2 separate regions of the Mus musculus genome follow, and region 2 is reported to be linked to region 1. The links are microRNA targets in miRTarBase. Many come from high-throughput screens and were not tested one by one. Region 1 holds a microRNA gene; the other region holds the end of a gene's coding sequence.
What was found. The annotated mature microRNA mmu-miR-30b-3p reads CUGGGAUGUGGAUGUUUACGUC and lies in region 1 at 2,775-2,796, shown strand. An mRNA with a match to its seed (bases 2 to 7 or 8) in the 3' UTR can be bound and repressed. Matches are read on the target gene's strand: a 7mer-m8 pairs with bases 2 to 8, a 7mer-A1 pairs with bases 2 to 7 and ends in A, and an 8mer does both.

Region 2: miRTarBase lists Tnrc6a as a target of mmu-miR-30b-3p. The part of its 3' UTR that is shown has no 7-base or 8-base seed match.

The regions. Positions count from the first base shown.
Region 1 is chr15:68,335,829-68,340,226 of GRCm38, reverse strand. Mir30b (microRNA 30b) reads left to right here and starts at 2,717; the gene lies at 2,717-2,812.
Region 2 is chr7:123,192,030-123,196,427 of GRCm38, reverse strand. Tnrc6a (trinucleotide repeat containing 6a) reads right to left here. Exons shown (of 24, transcript NM_144925.3): 23 at 4,230-4,369; 24 at 1,132-3,849. The coding sequence ends at 3,477. Among named protein-coding and RNA genes, the nearest start is that of Slc5a11, 21 kb to the left of the region's middle.

The DNA.
Region 1 (4,398 bases):
TAGGTTCAGTTTAGACTTAAAACAGAAGATACAGTTCCTGCCAATCTGATTTCTTATATGCTTCTCCTGGATTAGATTGTAGCCTTTCTGGAGACATGGATATTATGTCTTTATAATTCTGCGTTTTATACCATATGTATAAAATGTGTATATTGATATACAGTACTCTAATAATGATTTTATTCTAATAGTATATTTCCATTTACTTGTTTATTGGTGCTGGAGTTTGAACCTAGTGTTCTTGAACATGCTAAGCAAGCGACCTACTGCTGAGTTGCATTTCCAGTTTTTATTATGGATCCATTTAAGTACTACTTTGTTAGAAAGGTAGTGTGCAAGACTAATTTAAGAGAAGAGCTTGGTTGATCATTTTTGGACAGAGATATTGCTAGGAGCCCATAAAGTTCTCTGTGCCAAGGTAGAGTGTGATGTGTCTTCTGTTAATAGAATTATTTTGTTTGGCCAGGTGGCATTGGTTATTTTCCATAAAACCTTGATGTGTAAGTTAAAATTCAATGGCATGGATAAAAACTACATGGTTTACTTATTTAAAAATTATTTGAAGTGTTTTTTTAAATGGTAAGTCAAATCTAAGCTAAAAGAGGAGGAGTCATTATGCACAAAGCTACCATCCTCTGCTTACCTAGTCTAGTTATCCCTGGATGCTTCAGGGTTAATGCTAGTCTAGTGTGAAACATTTGTTGTGTATTATTCTGCCCTAATGAAAGAAAATCAGAGACCATGTCCGCTTGCGTCCTCAATGTTCTTGGTTCTATGTATTTAAGTACAGCCTTTTCGTCATCTGCAGATGACTTATTTATGTTTTAACTTAAAAACACCACAAACTTCATGTTGGCCTGCACCATTGACAGTTGAATGTTGAGCCATGAAAATTGGGTTGTCTTTCTTTTCCAATAAACTTAAAACAGATTGTTTTCTTGGCCTTTAACTTAGGTTTTCAGGAGAAAATGTGTAAATTTTGGTACAGTTTTAAAAATCTCAGAAATTTATTTACTATTGTATGTTTGTTTATTTTGGTCCAACGAATACTAAATGTCGAGGTAGTTCTCAGCCATTGTACAAATGATATTATTCCTCAGTGTATGATTTAGGAGTTAATTTTTAAGCAGACAACTATAAGTATATAAAGTCTGAGTTAATACATTCTACAAATCTATTTCAGAAATATTCATAGAAAAAAGATACATTTTGGTTGAGTCCTCATTGTCTCCATGGTCTCAAGTCTCTCTCTGCACAACAATAGTCTTGGTGTAGTTGAGAAAGGACCATAAACCTCTAACCCAGAACATATTCACTGTTGCATTAGCAGGGTCCAACTTGGATTTTGTTACAACTGCATTCATTGGATTACTGTTCTGATATTTATTGTGCATGCTAAGTTTTTGAAAAACAGGTTTAGTTTTATTTCCTGAGTTTATGCACCTTTTAAACTTATTCTGTCTTAGATTGTTTGCCTAGGCTGGTTGGCGAGGGTGAACTGTAAGGTACAGGTTTTGAGCTTGTCAACTTTTGTCAGTAGTACATTATGCACACCCTGATTATTGGACAGTCACTGCTGCCAGTGCTTTAGCTTCCCAATGTACTTAGGAAAAACAGCTTTCAAATACTACTGTGCATCACAATTACAGTGAGCTTACTAAAACACAGACTGCAGGACCCCAAAAAGAGTTCCATCCCTAGTAAGTCTGGGATAGAGCTTAGGAATCTGCTTTATTTCCTAAGTTTCTATTGTTGCTCTAGAACTAAAATCCAGAGCACTCAAATTATAGGTGTGTGTCACCATGCCAAACCCTAAAGTTTGATTGCAAAAAAGGACTGGCCCACCCCAAAGAATTAAATGTGTCTACAAAAAACAGCAGGAAATCAGACAAGCAAACTGTAATTGTAGTGAAAACAGGAAAAAGCAACATGTTTAAAGGGGAGAAAGGAGTTGGAGGTGGGGATAGATTAGTTTTGAGAATGCTGCTCCAGGAAAACAGGAGATTCCTGAGGTGATGGCGTATCTTTGAAATGCCAGGAAGTTTTAGTTTGCTGACAGTGTTATATGTAATTTTATTTCCTAATTTAAGGACTTCTTCCCTGATGAAAGTATTCCAAGAGTAACTTTTAATGTTTAGTAAAGGAATTTGGTGATTTTTTTTTTTAATTAAATCAGGAACACAGAAAGGGGTAGATGTCCTTGTGCTACCCCTTGCTACCATGTTTTAAATAATGGCCCATGGTAGAGATATGGGAAAGCCATGCCTGTGGTGCAAGGACCTGGGTGTTAAGGAAGAATAGGGGATTGGTACACCGTATTGCCCATCAAATGGGCTCCTATAAATGGAGGTGCAGTTGTTTAGAGAGAGGGAAAGGGTGGAGAAAGTTGAATGCTGTCAGAACAGTAAGTTGCCTTTAGGTGGGAAAAGCTATAGAATTCCTGTGTTCTTGCCATACGTGTGTGTGTGTGTGTGTGTGTGTGTGTGAGAGAGAGAGAGAGAGAGAGAGAGAGAGAGAGAGAGAGCATGAAAGAGAGAACGATAAATGTTTGCTGTTTCTGTGGATTCTATACTTACTCTGAAGATATCTTTCAAGTTGATTTTGTCCTCATGTAGATCACTGTGCCTAATTTTTTTTTCAACAGATTCTGCAAAATTGTCTGAGCCTCAAGTAAAAAACCAAGTATAAACATAGTAAAGAGTTCTCAAGTCTCTCTCTAAGCCAAGTTTCAGTTCATGTAAACATCCTACACTCAGCTGTCATACATGCGTTGGCTGGGATGTGGATGTTTACGTCAGCTGTCTTGGAGTATCCACCAGTTAACATATTGATACATGACTTAAGTGGCATTACAGGAGTATATCACCATGCCCAGCTAAAGGGCACTTATTATAAATACTGTTTATATTTAGGTTTTCAGTAAATACTTGCTGTACTATTTAAAATAGATACTTGTTTATCTTAATATAGATGATACCAATATTTTGATTCAGAAGTAGTGTAAATCTTACATATCACTGTAATTTGTTGCTAAATAGCCTTAAGCCTAGCTTCAGGTTCTATAATAATTAAGGAAAGTATTAATTTTCCTGGTCTCCACTTCTTTGTCAGCTGAATTGCATTGTCATAGTACCTGACAGGATTGTTGATGAAGTGAGTCGATGTCAGTTGAATGTTCTTGACATACGGTAGTTATCATTATTGTTACTATTTTAAGATTTTTTAATCCATTACCCTTTTCACAGACCTGATTGGTCTAACTGCTACTTTTATATTTGTACCAGGCAGACAGGTTGATCAATGTAATAGAATTGAAGACTCAGAAATAAAACCACACACTTATGGACACTTGATATTTGAAAAAGAAGCCAAAAAATATACAGTGGAAAAAAGAAAGCATCTTCAATAAATGGTACTGGTCTAACTGGCAGTTAGTATGTAGAAAAATGAAAATAGATCCATATTTGTCACCTGGCACAAAGCTCAAGTCCAAGTGGATCAAGGACCTCAACATAAAACCAGATTCACTGACTCTAATAGAAAAGAAAGTGGGAAAGAGCCTCAAGCTCATTGGCACTGGGCTGGGGAGGTGGGGGTGGGTATTTCCTAAATAGAACTCCAATGGCTCAGACTCTAAGATCAAGAATTAATAAATGGAACGTCATGAAACTTCTCAGCTTCTGTAAGGCAAAGGATGTAGTCAGTTAATCAAATTGGCAACCTATAGATTGAGGAAAAAAATCTTCACTAACACCACATCCCATAGAGGCCTAATATCCAAAATATAGAAAGAACTCAAGAAGCAAAAACCCAAACAACCGAATCAAAAAATGGGGTATAGAGAGAGCTAAACAGAGAATTCACAACAGAAAAATCTCGAATGGCCAAGAAGTACTTTTAAAAATGTTCAAAGTCCTTAGTCATCAGGGAAATGCAAATCAAATGACCCTGAGATTATTTACACTAATCATAATGGCTAAGACCAAAAACTCAGGTGACAGCTCATGTTGGCAAGGATGTGGAGAAAGAGGAACAATCCTCCATTGCTGGTGGAATTGCAAACTGGTACAACCATTTTGAATATCAATCTGGAGGTTTCTCAGAAAATTGGAAATAGATCTTTCTGAATACCCAGCTATACCACTCTTGGGCTTATACCCAAAAGGTGCCCCACTATACCACATGGGCACTTGCTCCACTATGTTCATAGCAACCTTATCTGTGATAGCTAGAAGCTGGAAACAACCCAGATGCACCACAACTGAAGAATGGATACAGAAAATGTGGGTCATTTACACAATTGAATATTATTTAGCTATTAGCAAGGACATCATGAGTTTTGCAGGTAAATGTATAGAACTAGAAAATACTCTGACTGAGAGAACCTAGACCCCAAAG
Region 2 (4,398 bases), not on the chromosome of region 1:
CAAGGGTTTCTCTATGTAACCCTGGCTATCCTGGAACTTGCTCTGTAGACCAACGTGGCCTTAACTCAGAGGTCCATCTGCCTCTGCCTCCAGAGCACCAGGATTAAAGGGATGGAACACTATGAGCTGTGGTCAACTTCTTTTGTTTTGAGCCTGGCTATCCTGGAACTCACTCTGTAGACCGGGCTGGTATCGAAATCAGAAATCCACCTGCCTCTGTCTCCCAAGTGTTGGGATTAAAGGTGTGTGCCACCACTGCTTGGCATTATGGTCAGTTTAAGTAGGCCTGTGGGTCCTGGCAGAGGCTGTAAGGGAGACAGTGTATTGTGAGCATAACGGAGAGTAGTGAGCACACCCAATGTCTTCCTCTGGCATGGATGTGTGCACCACACATAGATGTAAGAAAATAAAGGCCAGGGGCTGGAGAGATGGCTCAGAGATTAAGAGCACTGGCTGCTCTTCCAGAGGCCCCGAGTTCAATTCCCAGTAACCACATGGCTCTCAACCATCTGTAATGGGACCTGATGCTCTCTTCTGGGGTGTCTTAAGAAATCAACAGTGTACTCACATACATAAAATCAATCTATCTTAAAATAAATAAAAGCTTAACAACTTTTTGTGGAGCTGGGTATCCCCAGAACATAGTTGGAGGAGTGGAGCCAGAAAGTGGCTCACACTCTTCTTCCTCTAACTGGAGAGACTGGGGGGGTGGGGGTGGGGTGCAGTTTTGAGGCACGGTGTTCTATGGCGCTGTTTCATGCAAATGCTATCCAGAGCTCATTTTGGCCCAAACTCTAGTCATGTCAGGGGCTTTTGGGTTTATTGGAGTTCCAGCTCTAAGAATCACCCTCTGTAACACCCCAGAGCTCCGGATCAGTGGACACTGAAGAGAGACTGCAGGGCAGCTTCTGGCTGAAGTGTAGGCAGGAGCACACTGCCCTAGGCCTGAGCCGCTGCACGAGTCAGTTCAGGCTCACTCACAAAGGCCCCAAGGAGTGGGGAGCTCTGTCAGACACAGGCCTGTGGGAAGGGAAGGCTAAGAGGGAGGTCCCAATGACACCTGGGATTTGGAGACAATGGGGATAAGAAAGCAGCAGTTATTAATAAGGCAAAAAGCAAAACCACTTAAAATATTTTTTAAATCAAACACTTTATTTCCACATAACAAGCGCAAAAAAACTCCCAAACACTTTTAACAATACAATTAACGAAGTCATGAAGTCAGATATATACTACTCAAAGCCCCAAACGGTCACTCAGCTTAACGGTCCAAACATCTCCACACATGGTTTTTCAAAGCTACCTTTGGTTTTTGGAAAAACCAGTATGGACATCAACACACACCGAATGCATTAAACATTTGCTTAGGTTACGGTGTCCAACATTAGCTTACACCTGGCAAGTGGAGCGTGATTTGAAGTCATACAGGTTCTGTGCCCAGAGCTCCTTCAGTGAGGAGGGGCGAAGGGCACAGGGAAGAGAGGCCAGTCCAGGTGGTGGCATCCCCACTGTGTGAGGTATGAGAGGTTAACACTAGGACGCTGTCACGGCAGTCAGCTTCGTGTCCCAATGGTCCCGCTGAGGCTTGAGATGGGCACAGATGGTGGGGAAGGTGAAGCCAGAGAAGAGCTTTGGGCAACAACAAGCTCCCACAGATGCTCAGGGGAGGAGGAGCAAGCTACAGTTCCCACTGTTCTCACATTATCTCAGGGTGATTGTGGACAAGTTCAGGTAAAATGTTCAAATATTTGCTTAGATTTTTAATCTGCCGCTCTATGAGAAGAACTCTCACATGCAGCAACTTTGTAACTTTCATTATAAAAGAGCCTACAAATAAATCCACAAAAAAGAGACAATTAATGTTGAGCAGCCAAAAAGTCATGGTTTATTATTTGAAGATTTCATAATTCAAACACAACCAAACTGTACATTTACAATCACATCCTATTGTAAACAGTTAAAAGCCACTGACCTCTTTTGCATCTTAGGACACAAACAGTTAGAATCAAGGCAATGAAATGATGGCGTATTCTGTACTGTTAAAAGTTTACCCTTGTTTAGTCTCTCTTTGACTAAGCAAGCATTATAATACCATTTGTGGGCAAAACAACAGGGGCTAGGGAGGAAAGAAATTTTAAAATGGTGTAACTCGTTAGTTTGCAACAACATTTAAAATTTTTTATACAACAAACAACTCTGTAAGCCCAATGTCTTGGTTACAGTATGCATAGTTACTGATCTCGGCTTTAAGGTACAACAGTTAAACATGAACACAGTCACAAGAGAGCAGAGACATGAGAGCCACTGATGGGGTTACAAAAGTCACCTAGCGATTAGCAAACCATCATCACTCACTACTAAAGGACAGCATCTGAAAGCAGACGGCAACTCCAGCTCGAAGCGCGTTTTTTTCTTTTTTCTTTTCTTTTTTTTTTTTTTTTCTTTTTTTGGCAGAGAAAATGTTGAACAGAGCAATACGTAGTATCAGTGCTAAAAGTTGGGTTTTCTTCTTTCCTATAAGAAACTACAAGATTTTTTGACCGGGGAACTGGTTTCCTGAGAACCATGCTCTTTGATTTAGGACAGGAATAGAAAACAGAAGAACATGGCCAACTGCTGCTCTTTTCCCAGAGATAGAAGCGTCTTTTAAACCACCCTCCTTTTTTTTTTTTTTTGTCTTTTAATTTTTTTTTTTTAAATGATGGAAGAGTAAACATTTTTTTTCTCAAAAAACAAACAAAAAAATCTGTAAACAAGAAGGTTCACCGTGGGAACCTTCAAAACAACATGGAAAGCCTGTTCAAAGTGCAGGGCCCGTCCTGGGCAGCAGGCGGGCTGCAGGTCACAGCGGTGGCCACAGTTTCTCAAACTGTAGAGCGAAATTCTTTAGTTTTACAACATGAAAAAACTGGTGCAATACTTTCATTAAGAATCCTACGTCAGTATCTTAACTTGATCTTTTCAACTCCACGATACCACACTAAGGTAGGCAACATGAGGCATAGTAGAGAGCGCACGCCTTGAGAACACCCTTGAGTAAACATCTACACTGGAACAGCTGCCCCCATATTGCCGATTAGACGGAGAACATCACTCAGTGCAAAGGTAAAAGCTCATACGTCAGCCCCAAAACGGTTTTGCAAAAAATACAAATAAAAATAAAAGGTGGGGATGGGGATGGAAATGGAGGAAAGAAGGAATCCGAAGGCTAAACATGATGAATACACAAGTGAGCTCATTCCACACGGTAGCTGTATGGCGCTGTTTGGGAGTGTAAATAGATAGATACCCTTTCACATTATAATATTGGCCTGCATGATTCAAGTATTCAAACTGATATGTTTTGGGGAAAACAAAGTGGAGAATGTGCAGAAAACAGCTGTTCCCACAGGTGCCCTGGCTGCAGGCGGCGAGCCCAACTTAGTGCTCCTTTCCTTCTCTTCGTGAGGTCACAGTTTACGTCTATACCTATGCCATTACATGGACTCCCCACCCCCACCCAGGTGGTCAACAGAAAGAAAAGCATTAATGGGGGATGGGCTGCTAATTCCCCGGGGGTCGCTGCTCGGGGGACCCCACAGGCTTGTGGAATAATGTGGGGTCCCCCAGAGGGAAGTGCCGTGAAGGTCTCCACAGTTAGCTCCCGACAGCCCAGCACCATTCCAGTGATTGACATCAGTCCGGCTGGAGAACGAGTGGGAACAGTCGAGAGAGCCCAGCCGGCTCTGGCTGGACCCGAGAGACTGCCAGCCAGGAGAAGGGGTCAGAGACTGACTTTGTGCAAAGAAGCGACTGATCTCCTCTTCACTGGCAAACTCAGCGAGAATAGTAGTGTTCCCCAGCACACACCTAGAGGAGAGGGCACAACATGAGGTCTTCTAGATGCATGGCTTCATAAGCTCAACTAGCAGTGTGACCTGCTCCGAGAGAAAACCAAGGAGGTGCAGAAGGAGCCTGGCCTGCTCCATGCCCAGAGTGAATGTTCCAGAAGGGGTTATGGGGCATCTAGACCAGGTCTGCCTCCCATAGGCAACACAAGGGCTTCTCCAGGATCTAAGGTCACGTTCTATTTTCTGAAGTAGCCTTCAACGCCTAGGCTCAAGTTATCCCTCCGCCTAAGTCTCTCCTGGTCCACATTAACCAGGTCTACACAGGGGTCTTGGGTTGGGCTTTTACTCTCAGCTCTCCCAGCCTCTCCCCTCCCCATCAGGAGTCTTGGGGCAACTTACATGTGCAGAGACTTTTGTGCCTTCACTACCTCTTCTTTTGAACTGTAACGGACCAGAGCATTTCCATGTGGGAGGTTCAGATGGAATGTAATCAGTGGGCCATGCTGCATGCACAGGGTGCGCAGAGTTGAGCCATCAATCTAGACAGAGCAGGCTGCGGTTAGGGCCT